Linked DNA regions of Xenopus tropicalis. The protein of the gene in region 2 purifies or fractionates together with the protein of the main gene of each other region. This does not show direct contact. Links are inferred from orthologs where the notes say so. Each region holds a gene or a part of one and is shown on either strand. Other genes may lie near its edges.

Evidence for each region.
Region 1: the proteins of dcp1b (region 2) and bag4 purify together in Homo sapiens (affinity purification with mass spectrometry; 3 studies listed by BioGRID and IntAct, counting the BioPlex papers as one, with this or other methods). This does not show direct contact. The link is inferred for Xenopus tropicalis from reciprocal best matches to the Homo sapiens genes DCP1B and BAG4.
Region 3: the proteins of dcp1b (region 2) and edc4 purify together in Homo sapiens (affinity purification with mass spectrometry; 3 studies listed by BioGRID and IntAct, with this or other methods). This does not show direct contact. The link is inferred for Xenopus tropicalis from reciprocal best matches to the Homo sapiens genes DCP1B and EDC4.

The regions. Positions count from the first base shown.
Region 1 is NC_030679.2:132,219,486-132,223,085, forward strand, and holds the start of bag4 (BAG family molecular chaperone regulator 4), read left to right. Parts: upstream 1-1,248; 5' UTR 1,249-1,554; coding exon 1,555-1,734; intron 1,735-3,600. Other genes in the region: U6 snRNA-associated Sm-like protein LSm1, read right to left, coding at 898-943. UniProt on the Homo sapiens protein: Inhibits the chaperone activity of HSP70/HSC70 by promoting substrate release. Prevents constitutive TNFRSF1A signaling. Negative regulator of PRKN translocation to damaged mitochondria.
Region 2 is NC_030679.2:9,163,070-9,171,283, forward strand, and holds part of dcp1b (mRNA-decapping enzyme 1B), read left to right. Parts: intron 1-361; coding exon 362-497; intron 498-2,431; coding exon 2,432-2,557; intron 2,558-3,466; coding exon 3,467-4,168; intron 4,169-6,679; coding exon 6,680-6,928; intron 6,929-8,214. UniProt on the Homo sapiens protein: May play a role in the degradation of mRNAs, both in normal mRNA turnover and in nonsense-mediated mRNA decay. May remove the 7-methyl guanine cap structure from mRNA molecules, yielding a 5'-phosphorylated mRNA fragment and 7m-GDP.
Region 3 is NC_030680.2:41,313,860-41,322,073, forward strand, and holds part of edc4 (enhancer of mRNA-decapping protein 4), read left to right. Parts: intron 1-3,298; coding exon 3,299-3,452; intron 3,453-6,938; coding exon 6,939-7,050; intron 7,051-8,214. UniProt on the Homo sapiens protein: In the process of mRNA degradation, seems to play a role in mRNA decapping. Component of a complex containing DCP2 and DCP1A which functions in decapping of ARE-containing mRNAs. Promotes complex formation between DCP1A and DCP2.

The DNA.
Region 1 (3,600 bases), about 120 Mb from region 2:
CACAGACAATTAGTAAATTATCGGCATTGTCTATTATAGTAGCTGTGACAAGTAGCTGCTACTAGCTCTGTGTGGCTTCACTCTAAAGGAGAAGGAAAGGCTTTTTTACACTTCTGTAACCCCTTATGCCCAGCAATTTGCTGAAAATCACCCCAGCTTGGGATACGATTATAGGGGACGCCAGGCCAAAAAGGTTTTCAGTGAGGAGTGCAAGCCAGGGTCTAAGCTTAGTGATTATAATCATTGAGCAAAGAATTGGCAATAAACCTTTCCTTCTTCTTGAAGATTAGGGGTATTTGACATTAAAAGGATGTAACAGGTGTCCCTTCCTGTACTGCTGATTCAGACTACTGTAACAAAGTAGCAGACAGCTACTTTCCGCCGACTTCCGCTACAGTATTTCAAAAGTCAGACCCAGGGAACAGAAGGGGGATCAACAAATACATCTGCCATTACATTTGCAAATAACTTAAAACATGTAACTATTTCTATGCAACTTTCCAATATACTAAGTTTTTCAATGTAGTTCCCCTTTGCTAAGTGTGTTTCTAAGGCTACTGCAGTTGCCCATTTGGCTAGTTGCTAGGGAACAGACCAGGTTTGAATGACAGACGAGATAATAGATATGAAAGTGGCTCAATAGAAACTACTTTAGCAATTCACATAAGCCAAACGGCGAATCTGTTGCCATGCTTCACTCTGCCCATAGTTACAAGTGTAGTGAGTATGTGTGTAGGTATTAAACTACAACTCCCAGCACCGCACAATGGTAGGGGTGGAAGGTACATGTTAAGCTACGAGTGTATCGCCCATGCCTTCTATGGCGCCTAGGCTGCAGACTTGCGTTTAACCAGCTCACTTGTTGGGAGTCAGGGACATATATAATCAAATACTGACTGTCTATATCCTCTATGAGGCTGGCGGTCCCGGGCATATAATTCATCCTCTTTCCCGACCCTCCACGGGCCACTACCTCAAACCGGACAACACACAAAACTGGCCTCCAAAAGCACCGCCATCCTATTAAAAAAATGGCACTTCCGGCGGGACGAAGGCTCGTCTTATGGGCGGTGAATATGTACGTGACGCCATATTCAAGCGCCCGGCTGATGACTTCTGCGCCTCCCCGACATTTTTTGCTGGGCTTCCAATTTCGTCCTATTGGTGGTTGAACTAGTGTGGGCGTGGTTAAAATGGTTACCGGCCAATTAGAAATCTGAACCCAATTATTTCGCCGACTTTGCTCAACAACGATTGGTCGCATTCACGCATTCGATGCCTTTCACTTTCCCATTGGATGAAGTGACTTTTACATGACGTGCTGTTCGTGCGCAGTTACCCTGACCCCGATGACAATCAGTTCCCTCTCACTTTTTATTGGCCGCTAGCTAGAGATAGAGGCGTTTCTGAATCAGCGCACTTGCGCTCCATTGGCTGTTTGTTGTCTAGCTTCGTATTGATTGGCTGTAGGCGAGGTGCCAGGCTCTCACTGGTCGCTCTGCGTCGGCTCAGTTGACACTCGCTTACTCTCTAGCTCCCTGAATTGGAGGGTCCATGTCTGCCGCGCACAGGCCTGTGGAGGGAGGTGGGGGATACTATGGGGGTGCAGGAGCGGATGTGCTGGCAAGACAGCGGGGGGAAGGTGAGGCAGAGTGGAGAACTGGCTATTACCCACAGGAGGCGGAGAGAAGCTGGGCCGGAGGAGGGACAGGGGGAGGAGCTCCTGGAACTCAGGTGAGTAATTGCAGAAGTCAGGACGCAAAGTCATCAGGTAAAGTGTCATGGGTGTCTTTCTTGTTTCCATCCATCCAAACTACAGCACCTTTTCCTGAGGGGATCTGGGCAGGGGGCGGGTTGGATACCAAACGTGTCCATTCATTACCTGTATACATGGATATCCGGTACCTAATACATACGTGTGTGTATATATATATATATATATATATATATACAGAGCCTCTAGAGGCGCCTTTGTGCTACTCCTCCATAAACACTGGCCATTCATTTCCTATATAGTGAAATTGAACATTTAAAGGTCAAGTAAAGCCCACTATAAGCCAGTTTTAATTGACTAATATTAACACGTATTTACAAACCAACAACATATTTTGCAGCTTTTCATATACATAAAACATACAGATCACACACAAATATGAATTGATACAGAGGGACCTTTGTTTTGCTTGCCATAAGGCAACTTTATGGGGCTGGAGTACAATGACACTTGGGAAACCACAACCTAAACTTATGCCATAAGGGGGCGCTCTTCTATGGCAAAATGTAATGCTGCCATCCCTTAATATGGTAACATCAGGAATCTTGACTAAGGTGGCGGGATGTCTTTCCAAAATGTTTATATGTATGTATGTATAAGCGCCACAAGGGTACGCAGCACTGTACAATCTTACAATATACCAAATTACACACAGGGAGGACAAGTGTTATAAAAAATACAGTAAATAAGTATAAATACACAGGGAGTAAGTGCCATGTGGAATGAGACACAGTAGGAAGGAGGTCCCTGCCCCGTAAAGCTTACAATCTAAGTGGTTGGGTAACATACAGGCACAAATTGGAAGGTAAGAGTGCACCAGGTATGGGCATTTGCCCTTAAGCGCAGGACTGGGCAAGATAATGTTTTAGTGCTCCAGAAGGTAGTATATGTTATGCCCAAACAATGGCACCCATACTATTTTTTTAAAAAAAATGATCAGACCCGTTGGGCTAGGTAGAGCACTATGGAGCTTTAAGGGTGGCCGCCAGTAGGTGGGGGACAAGCCATCACATTGGAGGCTTTATGAGGGAGTATTTTAATGAGAAATTCTTTCTAGTTTATTGCTACTGTATAACAACATGAAGTACTAGCAGCATTTACACACATAATCCATTTCCAGAGCTGCCAAACAGAATGCTTGCATTAGATTCGTTTAATATGGTTACACTCATACAGATAACATCTCCATAACGCGGACAGATTCCTGATTTGAATTATTCCAAAATTAACTCCTATAACGTGTGCAGTAAGGACTGGCCACATTCTTTTCAGCACTTTCATAATGAGGCCTAAGAAGTGCCTACGGCCAATACATCTATAAAACCTAACCTAGAATCTAACTGCTTTATAATTATCCTGTGCTGCAGCTTTCTAGCCCTGTGTATATTTGGCAGACTTGTAATCAATACATTCCTTTTCCATTCCAAATTGGTAAATCCCAGTGAGCTGACTGCCATTTCCTGAGCAATTGCCTTTTATAGTCAGATCTTTCTGTGCTGAACCCCTTTCCATGCTGGGTTCTAATAACCTCACTGATCTCCAAAGCAAACACAGATACATTATCTTCTTGGCATTCTAGCGCTTATCAGGTTTTTTCTGTTCAATTCTTGTTCCTCAGCACCCCCTTGCCCCCTATATTTTGGCTCAGGAAAACATAGCCATAACAATAATAGAAACTGAAAAACAATGTGGGTCCCAGTACTGATCGTTGTGATACTTTTTGATTTAACCACTTTATCTTCTCCATGGTTGGCAGTGAGTGTCGTGATGTTGCTAAGCTGCCTCAAATTCTAATGCAGAATTCTAAATATATCCCACTGACTTCC
Region 2 (8,214 bases):
TTCATATGGTACATTATAGCCCAGTCCCACATGGTCCATTTTGGGTTCAGTAGGAACATGTGGATAATAATTTCCAATTACTCACAGAGTTTATTCTGTGAGTGGAAGGTCTTCCTTGGGGGACGTTACTCGCTGCTAATTCTCACCCCATATTTATATAGCCCTGACATGTATACGCAGAGCTTTACAGGCCTTTCCCTTACTACTCTATGCTGGGAGATGCCCAATCACATACACAGAGCTGCTGCACAGGGAATGCTCAGTGGCTCTTAAGTAACACAGCAGAACCAGTGCCACTGGGCACATCCGGGCAATGTCATAAAAATAAGACTTTTAATATCCCTTATATTTCCATTCCCAGCTTAACTCAGCAGGAGCAACTGAAAGCCCAACAGGGAGCTGCCAGCGGAGTCTCTCCAATGCCCCTGGGCACAGGGGATGGGAAGGGGGCAGATATACTGCAGATGTTAACCAAAGCCAAGGATGAGTACACCAAGGTGAGTGTGGAGAATACAATCCCGTATATCTGTCTGTCTGTCTATCTATCTGTCTGTCTGTCTGTCTTTCTGTCTGTCTATCATCTATCTATTTAATCTGTCTATCTATCATCTATCTATTTAATCTATCTATCTAGCTATCTGTCTATAATCTCTCTATCTGTCTGCCTATCTGTCTATCTGTCTATCTATCTATCTATCTATCTATCATCTATCTATTTAATCTGTCTATCTAGCTGTCTATCATCTATCTATCATCTATCTATTTAATCTGTCTATCATCTATCTATTTAATCTGTCTATCTAGCTATCTGTCTATAATCTATCTGTCTGTCTATCTATCTATCTATCTATCTATCTATCTATCTATCATCTATCTCTCTATATCTAGCTCTCTCTTAGTAGGTCTTCCACTGGCATATTATTGAGTTCTGTCTATCATCTATCTATTTAATCTATCTATCTAGCTATCTGTCTATCATCTATCTATCTGTCTATCATCTATCTATCTGTCTCTATCTATCTGTCTATCTATCTATCATCTATCTCTCTATATCTAGCTCTCTCTTAGTAGGTCTTCCACTGGCATATTATTGAGTTCTGTCTATCATCTATCTGTCTGCCTATCTATCTATCTATCTATCTATCTATCATCTATCTATCATCTATCTATCTATCTATCTATCTATCTATCATCTATCTATTTAATCTGTATGTCTGTCCATCTATCTATCTATCTGTCTGTCTGTCTATCTGTCTGTCTATCTATCTATCATCTATCTATTTAATCTGTCTATCTATCTAGCTGTCTATCTAGCTGTCTATCTGTCTATCATCTATCTATCATCTATCTATTTAATCTGTCTATCTATCTGTCTATCATCTATCTATCTATCTGTCTATCATCTATCTATCTGTCTCTATCTATCTATCATCTATCTCTCTATATCTAGCTCTCTCTTAGTAGGTCTTCCACTGGCATATTATTGAGTTCTGTCTATCATCTATCTATCTGTCTGCCTATCTATCTATCTATCTATCATCTATCTATTTAATCTATCTATCTATCATCTATCTATCATCTATCTCTATCATCTATCTATTTAATCTGTCTGTCTGTCCATCTATCTATCTATCTGTCTATCTATCTATCTATCTATCTATCTATCTATCTATCTATCTATCTATCTATCTATCTATCATCTATCTATTTAATCTGTCTATCTATCTAGCTATCTGTCTATAATCTGCCTATCTGTCTATCTATCTGTCTATCTGTCTGTCTATCTGTCTGGCTATCTGTCTGTCTATCTGTCTGTCTATCTGTCTGTCTATCTGTCTGTCTATCTGTCTGTCTGTCTGTCTGTCTGTCTGTCTGTCTGTCTGTCTGTCTGTCTGTCTATCTGTCTGTCTATCTGTCTGTCTATCTGTCTATCTATCTATCTATCTATCATCTATCTCTCTATATCTAGCTCTCTCTTAGTATGTCTTCCACTGGCATATTATTGAGTTCTGTCTATCATCTATCTATCTGTCTGTCTGTCTATCTATCTCTATCATCTATCTATTTAATCTCTCTATCTATCTATCTATCATCTATCTCTGTCATCTATCTATAAAATCTATCTATCTATCAATCTATCATCCATCTATCTATCTATCTATCTATCTATCTATCTATCTATCTCTCTATATCTAGCTCTCTCTTAGTAGGTCTTCCACTGGCATATTATTGAGTTGACAATACAGTGACTTTTTGTATATGCTGGAACAGTGGCAGTGGCCAAATTACTAAAAAAATATGGTTGCCTGTTTAAAGGAAAACTAAGCCTACTACGAGTCAGGAAACTGTTGGTTTCAGAAAGCAAGTGCAAATGTTTCCGTACCCACTTGTGAGAGATGGAAGTGTCTGATTGTTGTGTTTCTTTGCACAGTGCAAGTCGTGCTCCGAGCCCAAGATGATCACCAGCTCATCGGCCATCTACACCAACCCCAACCTCATCAAGCCCATTGCTGTTAAACCCAGTGAGTCCCAGCCGGGAAAGGTGAGAGCGTTAGAGGTGAGAGCAGTAGGGGCTTAGGGTTGTGCTTTCCTAACTGTGACCCACCTAGAAGGGAGCAGTGGCCTACCCTAAAGGTCCCCATACACGGGCCGATAGTAGCTGCCGATATGGGTCCCTTAGACAGACTCGGCAGCTAATCGGCCCCTGTAGGGGCACTAACGACTGGCCTGCCCGACCAATTTCTGACCTGAAATCGGGCAGATATCGATCAGGCAGGTTAAAAAATCTAGTCGGATCGGGGACCGCATCGGCTCGTTGATGCAGCCCCCGGACCGACTTTGCCTATACCCGCCGTTATAATTTGATCGTTTGGCCCGGATTCTCCCGATACCGCCCACCCGTAGGTGGGGGATATCGGGAGAAGATCCGCTTGCTTGGCAACATCCCCAAGCGAGCAGATCTGAAGGGGTATGGGCACCTTAAGGCCAAGGAGTAATCTCTGTAAACTGCGTGAAAACAGAACCCCTACACCAAGGTTCCTATATAGAAACATGGCCTGACCCAGTACCCATTTATTGGGGCTTTATGAATACTTCATTAAAGCTTAGTAATAGTTTATCAAATGTGATGGTGTAATAATGGTCTGTAAGCCACAGCAACCAATCAGATGTTTGTAAACAACAGACTGATAAATATAACCTGTTGATTGGCTGTTTTGGTTTACTTGAACTGTAGCAACTTTTGCACCAGTTATTACTTTCCATTACATGTATGAGGGCAGAAAACCTACCATCAGCCAGGTTGTTAGGCACCCCCTAGTGGTCACGCCCAGAGCGACCATGATTGGTGAGCAGTACTGTATGCTCCAGCTTGGCAATTGGGTAGCCAGAGCACCGAAAACGAGTGAAACTTACAGTCACCATAGTGTTAAACTGTGACTATGTTTTTTTTTTTATCCTTCCTTAGGCTGTGGAGTCAGAAAAGCAGCATTTATCTCTTACAGCTCTGTTCGGGAAGCCAGACAAAGCACAAGAGCAGATGAAGCTTCATTCCGAACCCGGCGCTGTGCGCCACTCGGTGGTCCGTTCCCTCTCGTATGAAGAACCTGGGAAGGCGACGGAGAATGTCGAGAAGCAGCTTTGCCCTGCCATCCAGAAACTCATGGTGGCGGGAAGTGGGCTGCAACCCGTCTCCGAGGTTCCTGAGAACAGGCCGTGCCATAATGGCAGCTATCCCCCCGATGGGGACATCCTCCCTGGCCTGTTCATCCCGGTGACGCACCAGGCTCCCTTTTCCAATCAGGACTATGAGAGCGGGAAAACTCTCTTGCAAACCCTTCACACAGCCCCAGTGGGGGGACCCAACGCCGACATGGTGTCCTCGTGCGCTGCACACTCACTTAATTACCACGACTGCTCTCTGCCGAACCAAAGGACTTCAGCCCCAATGCCTCCATTGCCTTTGTCTTCTCAACCTGTCATGGCCTCTGGCACCATCTCCCCACAGGAGCTGCTCAAGAAGCTAAATCTGGTGCGCCAGGAGCAGCAAATGCAAAGCAATCCCAGGCCGGCCCTAGCGGCTAAATTCCCGGTGGTCTCCCAGAGCGTGCCGAAAACATCCTGGGTGGAAAATATTCCTCGGGCTGAGAAACAGAATCTGCTCCTTCAGGTATCCGAGTAACAAGAGTATTAAAACAAAGTGGTAATATATAGGTATGGGACCAGAATGCTGGGGTTTTCCGGTTAAGGGATCTTTCCGTATTTTGGATTTCCATACCTTACGCCTGCTAAGAATCATTTAATATTGAATAAACCTAATAGGATTGTTCTGCCCCCAATAAGGGGTAATTATGTCTTAGTTGGGATCAAGTACAGGTACTGTTTTATTATTACAGAGAAAAGGGAATCATTTAACCATGAAATAAACCCAATAGGGCTGTTCTGCCCCCAATAAGGGGTAATTATATCTTAGTTGGGATCAAGTACAGGTACTGTTTTATTATTACAGAGAAAAGGGAATCATTTAACCATTAAATAAACCCAATAGGGCTGTTCTGCCCCCAATAAGGGGTAATTATATCTTAGTTGGGATCAAGTACAGGTACTGTTTTATTATTACAGAGAAAAGGGAATCATTTAACCATGAAATAAACCCAATAGGGCTGTTCTGCCCCCAATAAGGGGTAATTATATCTTAGTTGGGATCAAGTACAGGTACTGTTTTATTATTACAGAGAAAAGGGAATCATTTAACCATGAAATAAACCCAATAGGGCTGTTCTGCCCCCAATAAGGGGTAATTATATCTTAGTTGGGATCAAGTACAGGTACTGTTTTATTATTACAGAGAAAATGTAAATAATTTTCAGAAATTAGAATTATTTGCTTATAATGAAGTCTATGGGAGACGGCCTTTCTGTAATTTTAGAACTTTCTGGATAACGGGTTTCCGGATAAGGGATCCCATACCTGTATCTAGATATATACATGCATGCAACTGAATTTAATGTCATATTGTTACATGCATTTTCGTTTTCTGACAAGACTCTTGGCACATATTCTCAGCTGGCAGGGAAGTGCCCATATGTGGTTCTGCAGTCTGTCATTTTGTCATTTATGTAAATGTGATCTACCATTCTAAATGGCATCATGGAAACCCACGCTTTGCACCATGGGAAACTCATAGGATAGGAATCCCTGGAACAAGGGAAGCAATATAGCAGCTTCCCTCCAAATATGTATATATATATATATATATATATATATATATATATATATATATATATATATATATATATACAGAGAAGAAATGTTCTCTATACTATAAACTATATTATATTGTTCTAAAAAACAATATTGCAGCTATTTCCCATATGTATAAATGCAAGGATACAGAGAAGGAATGTTCTGGGCACACAATAAGCTGTACCCCCATACTGTACTGTCTAAGGGAAACACTATGGCACCTCCTACCCATATGTATAAATACAAATATACAGAGAAGGAATGTTCTGGGCACACAATAAGCTGTACCCCCATACTGTACTGTCTAAGGGAAACACTATGGCACCCCCTACCCATATGTATAAATACAAATATACAGAGAAGGAATGTTCTGGGCACACAATAAGCTGTACCCCCATACTGTACTGTCTAAGGGAAACACTATGGCACCCCCTACCCATATGTATAAATACAAATATACAGAGAAGGAATGTTCTGGGCACACAATAAGCTGTACCCCCATACTGTACTGTCTAAGGGAAACACTATGGCACCCCCTACCCATATGTATAAATACAAATATACAGAGAAGGAATGTTCTGGGCACACAATAAGCTGTACCCCCATACTGTACTGTCTAAGGGAAACACTATGGCACCCCCTACCCATATGTATAAATACAAATATACAGAGAAGGAATGTTCTGGGCACACAATAAGCTGTACCCCCATACTGTACTGTCTAAGGGAAACACTATGGCACCCCCTACCCATATGTATAAATACAAATATACAGAGAAGGAATGTTCTGGGCACACAATAAGCTGTACCCCCATACTGTACTGTCTAAGGGAAACACTATGGCACCTCCTACCCATATGTATAAATACAAATATACAGAGAAGGAATGTTCTGGGCACACAATAAGCTGTACCCCCATACTGTACTGTCTAAGGCAGGGATCCCCAACCTTTCTTACTCGTGAGCCACAGTCAAATGTAAAAAGACTTGGGGAGCAACACAAGCACCATAAAAGTTCATGGAGGAGCCAAATAAGGGCTGTGATTGGCTATTAGGGGCCTCTATGCACCCTATCAGCTTACAGGGGGCTTTATTTGGTAGGAAATCTTGTTTTTATTCAACCAAAACTTGCCCCCAAGTCAGGAATTCAAAAATAACTCCCTGGTTTGGGGGCACTGAGAGCAACATCCAAGGGGTTGGGGAGCAACATGTTGCCCCTGAGACACTGGTTGGGGATCACTGGTCTAAGGGAAACATTATGGCACCTCCCTCCCATATGTATAAATACAAATATACAGAGAAGGAATGTTCTGGGCACACAATAAGCTGTACCCCCATACTGTACTGTCTAAGGGAAACACTATGGCAGCAACCCACCTCTTGGTAATGTGTCTGCCAGCAATAAGCCTGTAATATGCTGCCCTTTCTATCCACAGCAAGCCTCCTCTCCTCAGCATATCCCAGCCTCTGTGTCACCAGCACTGCTGATGTCCCCCATGGTATTTGCCCAGCCAAGCCTGCAGACCAGGACAAATGAAACAGCCAACCTCTCCCTTTGTACCAAAGAGCCCTCCAATCTGCTCTTCCCCGCTGCATTCCCAGAGAACCCCACGAACACCATGAATAGCTGGAACGGCGTCCTCACTAGGAGTCAGCTCCAGGAGACCCTGCTGCACCTTATCCAGGTGAGATCTGAGCATAGGGCTACAGAGAAAGTGTGTGTGTATATATATATATATATTTATATATATATATATATATATATATATATATATACAATCCAGAGTGGGAGCACACCATTAAGTATAATAAAAACCTAGGTGCCAGAGCTGAAAAAAATCTACAAACCAATTCAAAGTGTCGGCACTCATAGGATTTCCGCAACAAAAGCACAGCAAATAAAGTTTCTTATTAATGCAGGTGATGTGGTTTATTAATCCGACGTTTCAGTCCTTTACTTGGACTTTCATCTCCCTGATGAAAGTCCAAGTAAAGGACTGAAACGTCGGATTAATAAACCACATCACCTGCATTAATAAGAAACTTTATTTGCTGTGCTTTTGTTGCGGAAATCCTATGAGTGCCGACACTTTGAATTGGTTTATATATATATATATTTATATATATATATGTATGTATGTATGTATATGTATATATAATGTAAAAGTAAAAAAAAAAAAACCCCACAGTTCTCTCATATATATAATGCAATTTCTGGTGAGGAATAAATCAGGACACCCCAGCATTTAGTCCCGCCTAAAATGGCTCAAATCACACACAGGTGTATCACATCAGGTGCACATGATTAGAACTGCCTGAGGCCCTTAGGCTGATGCCACACCAGGCGTAGGGCTGATTTTTTCGGCAAGCGGAAAAACGCTTGCCGAAAAATCAGCCCTACGCCTGCTACTTGTGCCTGCACCCGAATGAATGGAATACGCTCGGGTGCAGGCACATGTAGCCGATATACGCACGAAAACGCGCGAGAATGCAAAGTCTCGCGTTTTCTTGCGTATATCGGCTACATGTGCCTGCACCCGAGCGTATTCCATTCATTCGGGTGCAGGCACAAGTAGCAGGCGTAGGGCTGAATTTTCGGCAAGCGTTTTTCCGCTTGCCGAAAAAATCAGCCCTACGCCTGGTGTGGCATGAGCCTTACAAAGAAGATTGTAGCAGCTTATAAGTCTGGTAAGGGATTTCAAAAGATCTCAAAAGAATTTGAAATCTTCCATTCCACTGTCTGGAAAATATAGACCCAAGAGGAGCACTCAAAACAAAATTAACCGCCTGGGTGCTGATAAAATTTAGTAAATAGAAAGAATCGGTACCACCGCACTCGCAATCAAAAAAGGTTTATATAATGGTTAAATGATTCCCTTTTCTCTGTAATAATAAAACAGTACCTGTACTTGATCCCAACTAAGATATAATTACCCCTTATTGGGGGCAGAACAGCCCTATTGGGTTTATT
Region 3 (8,214 bases), on a different chromosome or scaffold from region 2:
GGTTGATTAAATAGATACAAAATCAATGTACTCTGTAATGTTTTTCACTTCGTTACGGAACTGAGACCACTTTTTCGCTCATAGTTTTCCTTCGTGTAAGAGAAATCACAAATGCCTGTATAGCAAAACTTTTGTTCTGAGTAGTACTAATTCATTTTTTCTGCCTAAGGATAAGTTGGAGGAGTTTGATTTTGTAATCAGTGGAAGGGGGAATGGTGGCCATGTCTAACGTTTTGCCACCTGATAATTCTGGAAAAAGCAGAAGTGATTAAAGAACAGTTTTACTGTGAAGAATAGAAACTGAGAAATGTACTTGTCACCCTAATTTGCTAGATGGCTATATCTTGGAATTTGACTTAGGAACAAAAGAGGACCAAACATAAACTTCATGGTTTAACTTTTTTAGTGCCAGCAAATATTTGATAAGTGTGTGCACTAAACAGCCATTCAATTGTTCAACATTTTTGTTTTTAACTTTAGAGGATACCTGAGGGTAAATATTTAATTCTAGTTAGAAAAGCCACATTTTGTTTTTTAGTACATCAGCTTTCTAAGTATACCTGTAACTGTGTGGCTCTGAATACCTGCAAATTGAATAAAGGTCTTATTTTTCATAATACAGGTATGGGATCTGTTATCAGTAAACCCGTAATGCAGAAAGTTTAATTAAAAGAAGCCCATCTCTAGAATGCATTTTAATCAACAAAAAACAAATCACATTTTTAAAAATGGTTTCCTTGTACTCCGTAATAATGTTGCTTGATCCCAACTAAAATATAATCTAGCCTTAGTGGTGGCAAATCAATACCATTGTGTTTATTTAACGTTTAAATGATTTATTGGTAGACTTAAGGTTTGGTGAACCCAATTACAGAAAACCTTGGAAAATTCCAGGTCCCAAGCATTCTGGAGAACCGGTCCCATGACTGTATAGTGTTGTTTATACATAGGAAACTGGCTAAAGCATTGTGTACAGTGAGGGTTTTAGTGGGCTCCCATAGGGTTCTGTAAAAACTATTTTTTTAATTTGTTCATTAATTACTTATGAGGGGGCACAAAACTTTGTAGGTCAATTAATTCCATACAGGATGTGACCTCTTTTTCAGCAGGATCTCTGCAAACTGGGTGGCTAAGTGGCAGATGAGATTCAGTGTTTGCACCTGGGATATAAAATATACAAGCAACTTATACATTCAATGGGACTGTGTTAGACAAATCCATAATGGTGAAGGGCCTAAAGGGATTGTAGAAACTTGGCTGCAGCAAGCAATGCCAGTCAGCAGCTGCAAGGGCAAACAAGGTTTTGAGTTTTATTAAAAGGGCATACATTCATGGGAGGAGTGGATAATTTTTCTTTACAAACAGTTCCTATCTAGAAGAAAATGCAGTGCTGTTTTGGTCTCAAGTGCTAAAGTAGAATATTATTGAATTAGAGAAAGTTAAAAGAAGGACAAATAAGCTGGTAAAGCACGTCTTTATTTGGGAGGCTGATCCCTAATTTCATTCTGTGTCGAAATGAATGATTTGTGGTAACATGAAATAACACACAAGGCAGAGCCCTGAGTTATTCAGGCCACTGTACGCAGAGGCTTGATGTTTTTGAAACAAAAACAAACTGTTTAAGTCCCCGTGCATGAAAAGATCCAGGTGGCTTCAGGATAAAGATTTAATTGAAATCCAAACAGCTATATTGAATTTTCTAGAAACATGGTATGAGAAGAACAGGGGAACTGAGACAGGGTCTCGACATATGCCAATGGAGATAGGGAATGACCAGGGTGGAACCAGAATGGGCAAGTGTAAAAGGCGTTGGGGTAGGGTTTCAGTGGACATGTATGGCAGGTGTTGGTTGTAAAATGTGTCAAGCTGATGAGTAGACATTGTTTCAGTAAATAATTACCAAGAAGGAGTTATTATAGAACAACTTTTAGGAAGCCACATACAGTGTGACCTTATGAACTAATGTACTTCCATACAATTACCAGTGCTACCACTAGCATGTAGGTTACCCAGGGGTGCTGCTGCCATGTGTGACAGCAGCCTGCAAGTTACCAGGGGCAGCAAAAAGCTACAACTGGTAATTTCAAGAGATGTAATTTCCAATTTTTTAATTGGAATTTTGGCTCTGCTAGTGCATAAGTACATAAGCAGCATTTGCTAATTTTTTCAACTGATCAAGCAGACGGCATACATAATGCAGAAATCTATTCAATAGGCGCATTCAGTGGGAAATGTCAAAACAAAGTTGTCACAGTTTTATAAAAAAAAAAAAAAAAGTTGCCAGCTATATCACACTGCACAGATAGTTTACTTAAATAATACTGTATTTTACTTAAATAACTTTTCAAACACAGGCAAAGCCAGAGTGGGTAAAAAAAAATCTTACAACCTTTTGTAACCTTTTGATGAGCTGGATGCAAAAGTCTTGAAAGACAAACAATTTACCCTAACCCTTTAACTTGAGTTTTTGAACAACAATACAAGTATAATCACTGGAAAAAAAAAGTAAAATAACTAAAATGTTTAAAATAGATAAACAAGTTTTATTGATAAGTAGTCCGTGGCCAAAATCGCTGCTCCGGGAGTGGATTCTTTGGAATTATTTGGGTTGGTGAAGAACAAACCTGGAAAGTGCTTTTCAAGCCCTTTTTGTCTGCTGCCTATGTTACCAAAAAAAACAACAAAACTTCTATTTAGTATTCACTGGCTTGAGTATTGTATAAATCTTTTGCACTCCATTTTTGCCCTAGTCATTCTCTAGATTTTTAATTTTTGGGGAGGTTTTTCGGCTATAAAAATGACTTCAAAGTAGTTTTCCCAACACATTACAAATCATGCTGTTTACAGTTTGAGAAATGTAGTTTACATTTATACATCGGCATATCATAAAACAAAGGTGAATATGTGTGTTATCTATTTAGTAAAGTAAAGTGCAGCGATAACTGTGTAGTTTTTAAATCTTTCAGCTGTAAGCCAAATTGAAGCATTTGCTTTATCAATGCTGACCTTGACTGCAACTTCTGACTGAAGTGGAGTTTGTCGTTGAAAAAGTGACCACACCATGCCTGTCTAGTTGTCAGCTTTTTAAACAGTGTTGTCTGGTACTAATAGGTTCATGGGGAACTAGTAGGTTCACTTGGAGGATCAATAACCTATGTGGCCAGATAGGATTTGTTCACAAAAAATCTGGAATGTAGTTGGTCAGCGTTCCACTTTTAAATATTGGGCTGCAATTCTGGAGGTAGATGTGATCAACTTGCAATGCAAAAAACTTTAAAATAAACAAACTTTTTTTCAGATTCAGTTAATGGAAACCAGAGGAAATCTAACTCCTCCTTCAGCAGTGATCTGAATGGTCTTCTTGTTACTGATCAAGTTGCAGCTGTGGGTACCTCCTTGTCTGATACAAACCTCTGCAGTGCTGCAGTGTTGAGTTCAGAAAGACAGATCATGTGAGTGTATCTTTCTCCCAGGTTTACCAAACTCTCATTCTGTACAGCCCTTTTATGTCCTGTCAAATACTGTTACCTGAATGCCAACTTCTCTTGTGTATATGTGTTTAGATAACAGAGGACTCGCAGTTGGTGAAAAAACAAAATGTTCTTTATTGTGCAAAAATCGACATTTCGGTCACAATTTAGGACCTTTCTCAAGATGCGTTATGGTGTCCAAATCCCCATTAAATACCCTGTGATTGAATTTGGGCCAAATCACTGTGATGTCACCCATCCCCCACAGCAGAAATAGTAACGATTAAGCAAAATAGGACTAATATGAAAGGATTCAACAAAAAGGAAACTGTATCAGAAAAAAAATGCAAACCAGTGAACATAAGTATAAGTGGCTGTTTGAAACATATTTTCAAAAAGGAGGAAATGTAGCGATTAGGATGTGTTACATAAAATAGAAGCTTGTGATGGGGTAACCGATACAATCTAGCAAGTATAGGACCATAGCTGTACAGGACTAGAAAGAATTACTTACAAAAGCCATATCCAAATGGCGCACAAGGAGCAGGAGCGAGTCGCGTTGCCATGGCAAAAAGGCACAAGTGTCAGCAGGTAATAGAGACAAGAGGAGCTTGTCCTTAATGGCCATATGAAAAGGCCACGTGTGGCTGGGGGCACATAGAACATGTATATCAATTGGCCCAGTTAGGCTAACGTTTCGGTCCACATTAGGACCTTTATCAAGGATAACAAATAATGACTTTAAGATCAAACGACCTGTTAATTCATGTCAATAGGTCTGTCCACTTGGGGGCACAACTTTTGTGTATTTTCGTTAATTTGCACGACTTTTTCGTACTTTGCAATAATTGGTGCGACAAAATCATATTTGTCGCAGCGAGTACGAAAGTTTCGGAATTCATTCAAGCTTTGGTATCGTGACTTTCCTTGGGCCAGGTTAGAGCTGCAGAGTGCCATTGAGTCCTATGGGAGGCTTCCAAAATCATGCACAAAAGGATCAAAGTCAGACGTTTGTGATTGTTCGGATATGAATATTTCATAACTTTCGGATTGTACCACAATATTTTCGTACAAGCACGGTGCGACTTTTCGCTAAATTAACGCACATGAGAAATTTTCATATTTAATGGGAATTTTCACAAATCGTACTCTTAATTCGAACTTTAATGAATCAGCCCCTTGGTGTCGCTCACTTAATCACCTGAAAAAGTGACTGTGCGTTCTATCATGTTGCCATACCAAACACATCCTAGTAACTGTGCATTTTACCATTCTAAGATACCCAAATTTATATATAATATTAAAACTTTCAATATTAAATGCTGTTAAAAACACATTGCTATATGTTCCAGTGATCAAGTGTAAGATTTAACAATATATACAATAATAGTAGCACGTGATACTCCTTAAACAGCATTATAAGAATTATAAAAAGTATATAGTGTATTTCAATTACAAAAAGTTCCAAAAATACAAAAAAGTCCAATGACCTTTGCATTGGCCATGATTTAAGACCGTCCATCCTGAAAAATATATATAAAAAAAAAACAAAAAAAAAAACAACTTTTATATCTAACCATTGTTTTAAAAATTAAAAACCACACATATATTAGGATGTTAGGATATCACAGAACTCATGTCTGAAAGCAAGCCATACTAAATTGTCCATTCAAGCCCCTTGATGTTGCACGGTTTAACTTGTGTATCCAATATGTCTCTAATTAATTTAAGGAGCTCCTTTGCTAAATCCTCACCTCTTGGGCATCTGCCTATTGCTTCGCTACCGGTTATTTTGCTATATCCTTCTCCTCAATTTTTTTTTCTGCCTTTTAGGATCTAATGCTGCCCTTATGGGATGCCCTGTGCATCCTTTCTTTGAGTTATTTTACTGTCTTTCCACAATATAATAGCCCATATGGGCTTTTAATTATGTAGACAACCTTTGTGGAAGTACAGGTCAATCTCTGCTTGATCATTTTTTACCAGGATGTTCAAAATACACTCCTTGTATGAGGCTGCTGCACATAACCCATCCCTTACATCTATAGGCTCCAGGCCGTGGGCTCAAAAAAATGTCTAGCATGTTGTATAGTGTATCAGAGTGGCTTAATTACTCTTTTAAAGGAGGACTATACCCCCAGGCGATAAAAGCCCCCTTAATTATCACTGCCTTGACCCCCCCCCCACACATCTCCCTTATCGCATAAAACGGCTCTGCTTGCGCTTGTGCAGTTGGTGGAAGGAGGAAAACTGCTTAAACTGTGCATGAGCAAGCAGGGTCCGTGTTGGTGGTGAGACCTGTGGTGCAACTGAAGTGTCTTCAGTTGCTAAGAAGATGTCTGTCGGGTACGCTGCTGTGCTACTTTGCTGTTTTAGCTAGGGGTTAGTGATAGGGACGGTTGTTAAAGGTGAAGGAATGGCTAATAAAGAGTTAATCTCAAGCTGCAGGCATACCTTCAATTCTCTCAATAGTGCCCTTAAGTCTCCTCATATTTCACCTGTGCAAATGATCAGAAGCCAAACAGGAAGAAAAAAACTCTGAGCTGTGTAAATAAAGTTCTCATAATGCCTTGCTCCTGCACAGAGACCCAGACCAGTGTACATGCTTAGTTTGTAAGACTATGAGGAAGCTTCCTGCTGATTGGCTCAGATATACATTCCTAAGGGGGGAGTGAGTTCTTGGTATTCTTGAGGGAGTAGGGAGCAGGAGAGGGGAGAGAGCTGTGTGTCTCTGGCAGAGGAAAACAGACACCACAAATCTTTTGACAGAGAAGTCAGTGCAGCGTTTCTGTGAGTGCTTATGGTTGTATTTACATAGAGCTTTCTGATAAATCTTACTTAGTTTTTACCTTTCCTTCTCCTTTAAGCTTAGAAACTATGCAATAAGGGAGAGGTGATAGGGGTTAATGGGGGCTTTTATCACCTGGGGGTATAGTTCTACTTTAAGTTCCGTGCCCGTTTAAAACTGAACTTAGGCTTTTTTGGAAACAAAGCTTGTAAACTATTCTTATATTATGAAACACAACACTCAACAGGCTTAGTACAGAGAAACTTGTATAATTGGCAAGTTGTAAAGAAAAAAATTGCAATATTTAATTCACATCAATGTGATCTTTCTTCCTGAGTGCAAATAAAGTATAATGCCCAGTGGTCATATTACAGTACAGTACATACCTTCATTAGGGTAATTTACAAATAACTGAGTTGGCCCTGTGGCTCATAGCATTGTTTCATATAAGCCACTCTGCAAAACAATATTAAAAACAACTCCTCAAACTTAGAAACCGTTCATCTTTTTGCCTCTTTTTATTCTGTTATATCACCAGAATGAGATGCAAATTGTTGTATACCACATTATTCACCGTATTGACAGTTTTATACCTTTATATAAGTCCTATATGTTTTCAGTCAAAAATGTTATTGTTTTGTTTTTTGTCCCAGCCTTAATCACTGTTATTATTGTCTTAGTTGCCTATCTGGAGATGACAGCTCTTCTTGCATTGAAATCACTGCTAAAGATGTAGAAATCGTTGCCAGCCATGACTCTAATATATGCAGCAAAGCAAGAGGCAGCAACAAGGTAAATATGTTTTTAGTACTTCAGTTACCTTGTCAGTGTTTCATGGGTAGCATTTTGTACAGTGGTTGGTGAATATTGTGCTAGGAATTGTTTCAGTGAGAATTTAGTTTGTAAATAAAGATGGATAATCTAGATTGTTACTAGCTATTCCAGCAGACTGTATTACATGTAACCTTTTATAGAAAGCCTTTCTTAAAGGTAGCGACCGGTTAAAGGGGGTCTAAGCCCAAAAAATGAATTGATGCAAAGTTACTCTGAGCACTTTTCTGAGCGCTTTTGCAGTATATTTATCCCATATCTGACATTGTATATATCTCATATCTGGCATGTATTTTGTATGTTTAGCCTAATCTTAGGCAGTTCTGTTAACTTGTTAAAAGTAGGGATGCACCAAATCCAGGATTCGGTTCAGGATTTGGCCAAGATTCACTCCTTTTCATGCTCCTGGCTGACCCGAAATCCATAAAATCACTTGACTTGTCACATAAACACGTAAGTAGTAAATTTGTCACAGCGCACAGAGCTCTTTAACCTTTACATATCCTTATTTACCTGTGCAAATTTGGTTTGCTATTCAGCCAAATCTTTTATAAAGCGTTCGGCCAAATCCAAAAATAGTGGATTTGGTGCATCCCTAATTAAAAGTTCTATGCCAGATATAGCTCATACAGCATGTTGGAGGGCCACATTCAATTTAAATGTCATATAGTAAAGTTCATGGCGCTTCAGAGCAGACCGGAGGCCATAAAAATCCTGTGGAGGGCCACATCAGACCTGTGGGCCTCCAGTTGGACAACCCTGATTTATATATAGGCACAAGTACCTGGGTGTAAGTGGAAAATTAAAGGTATGAATTAAAAAGCTCCATACTCATATTTCTTTTTGTTGCAAAAACCATGAATTACATCTGTATCTATCTAGACATCTAAATATTATGTACCCTTGCATAAATGTATTTACCTGGGTGCCTGCGCTTTAAACATTTAAATACACACAGGAACCTTTCAAGAAAACCAGTGCTGTGATACAAACAACTGGTTAAAAGGGCAGCTTTTGCCAGGCAACCCCCCTGTACAACCCCCATCATATGACTTCATCAAAGACCCTGTATATTCACTTAGGGGAGGCACATCATATGACAGATTTTATAACATTTCTTTAATT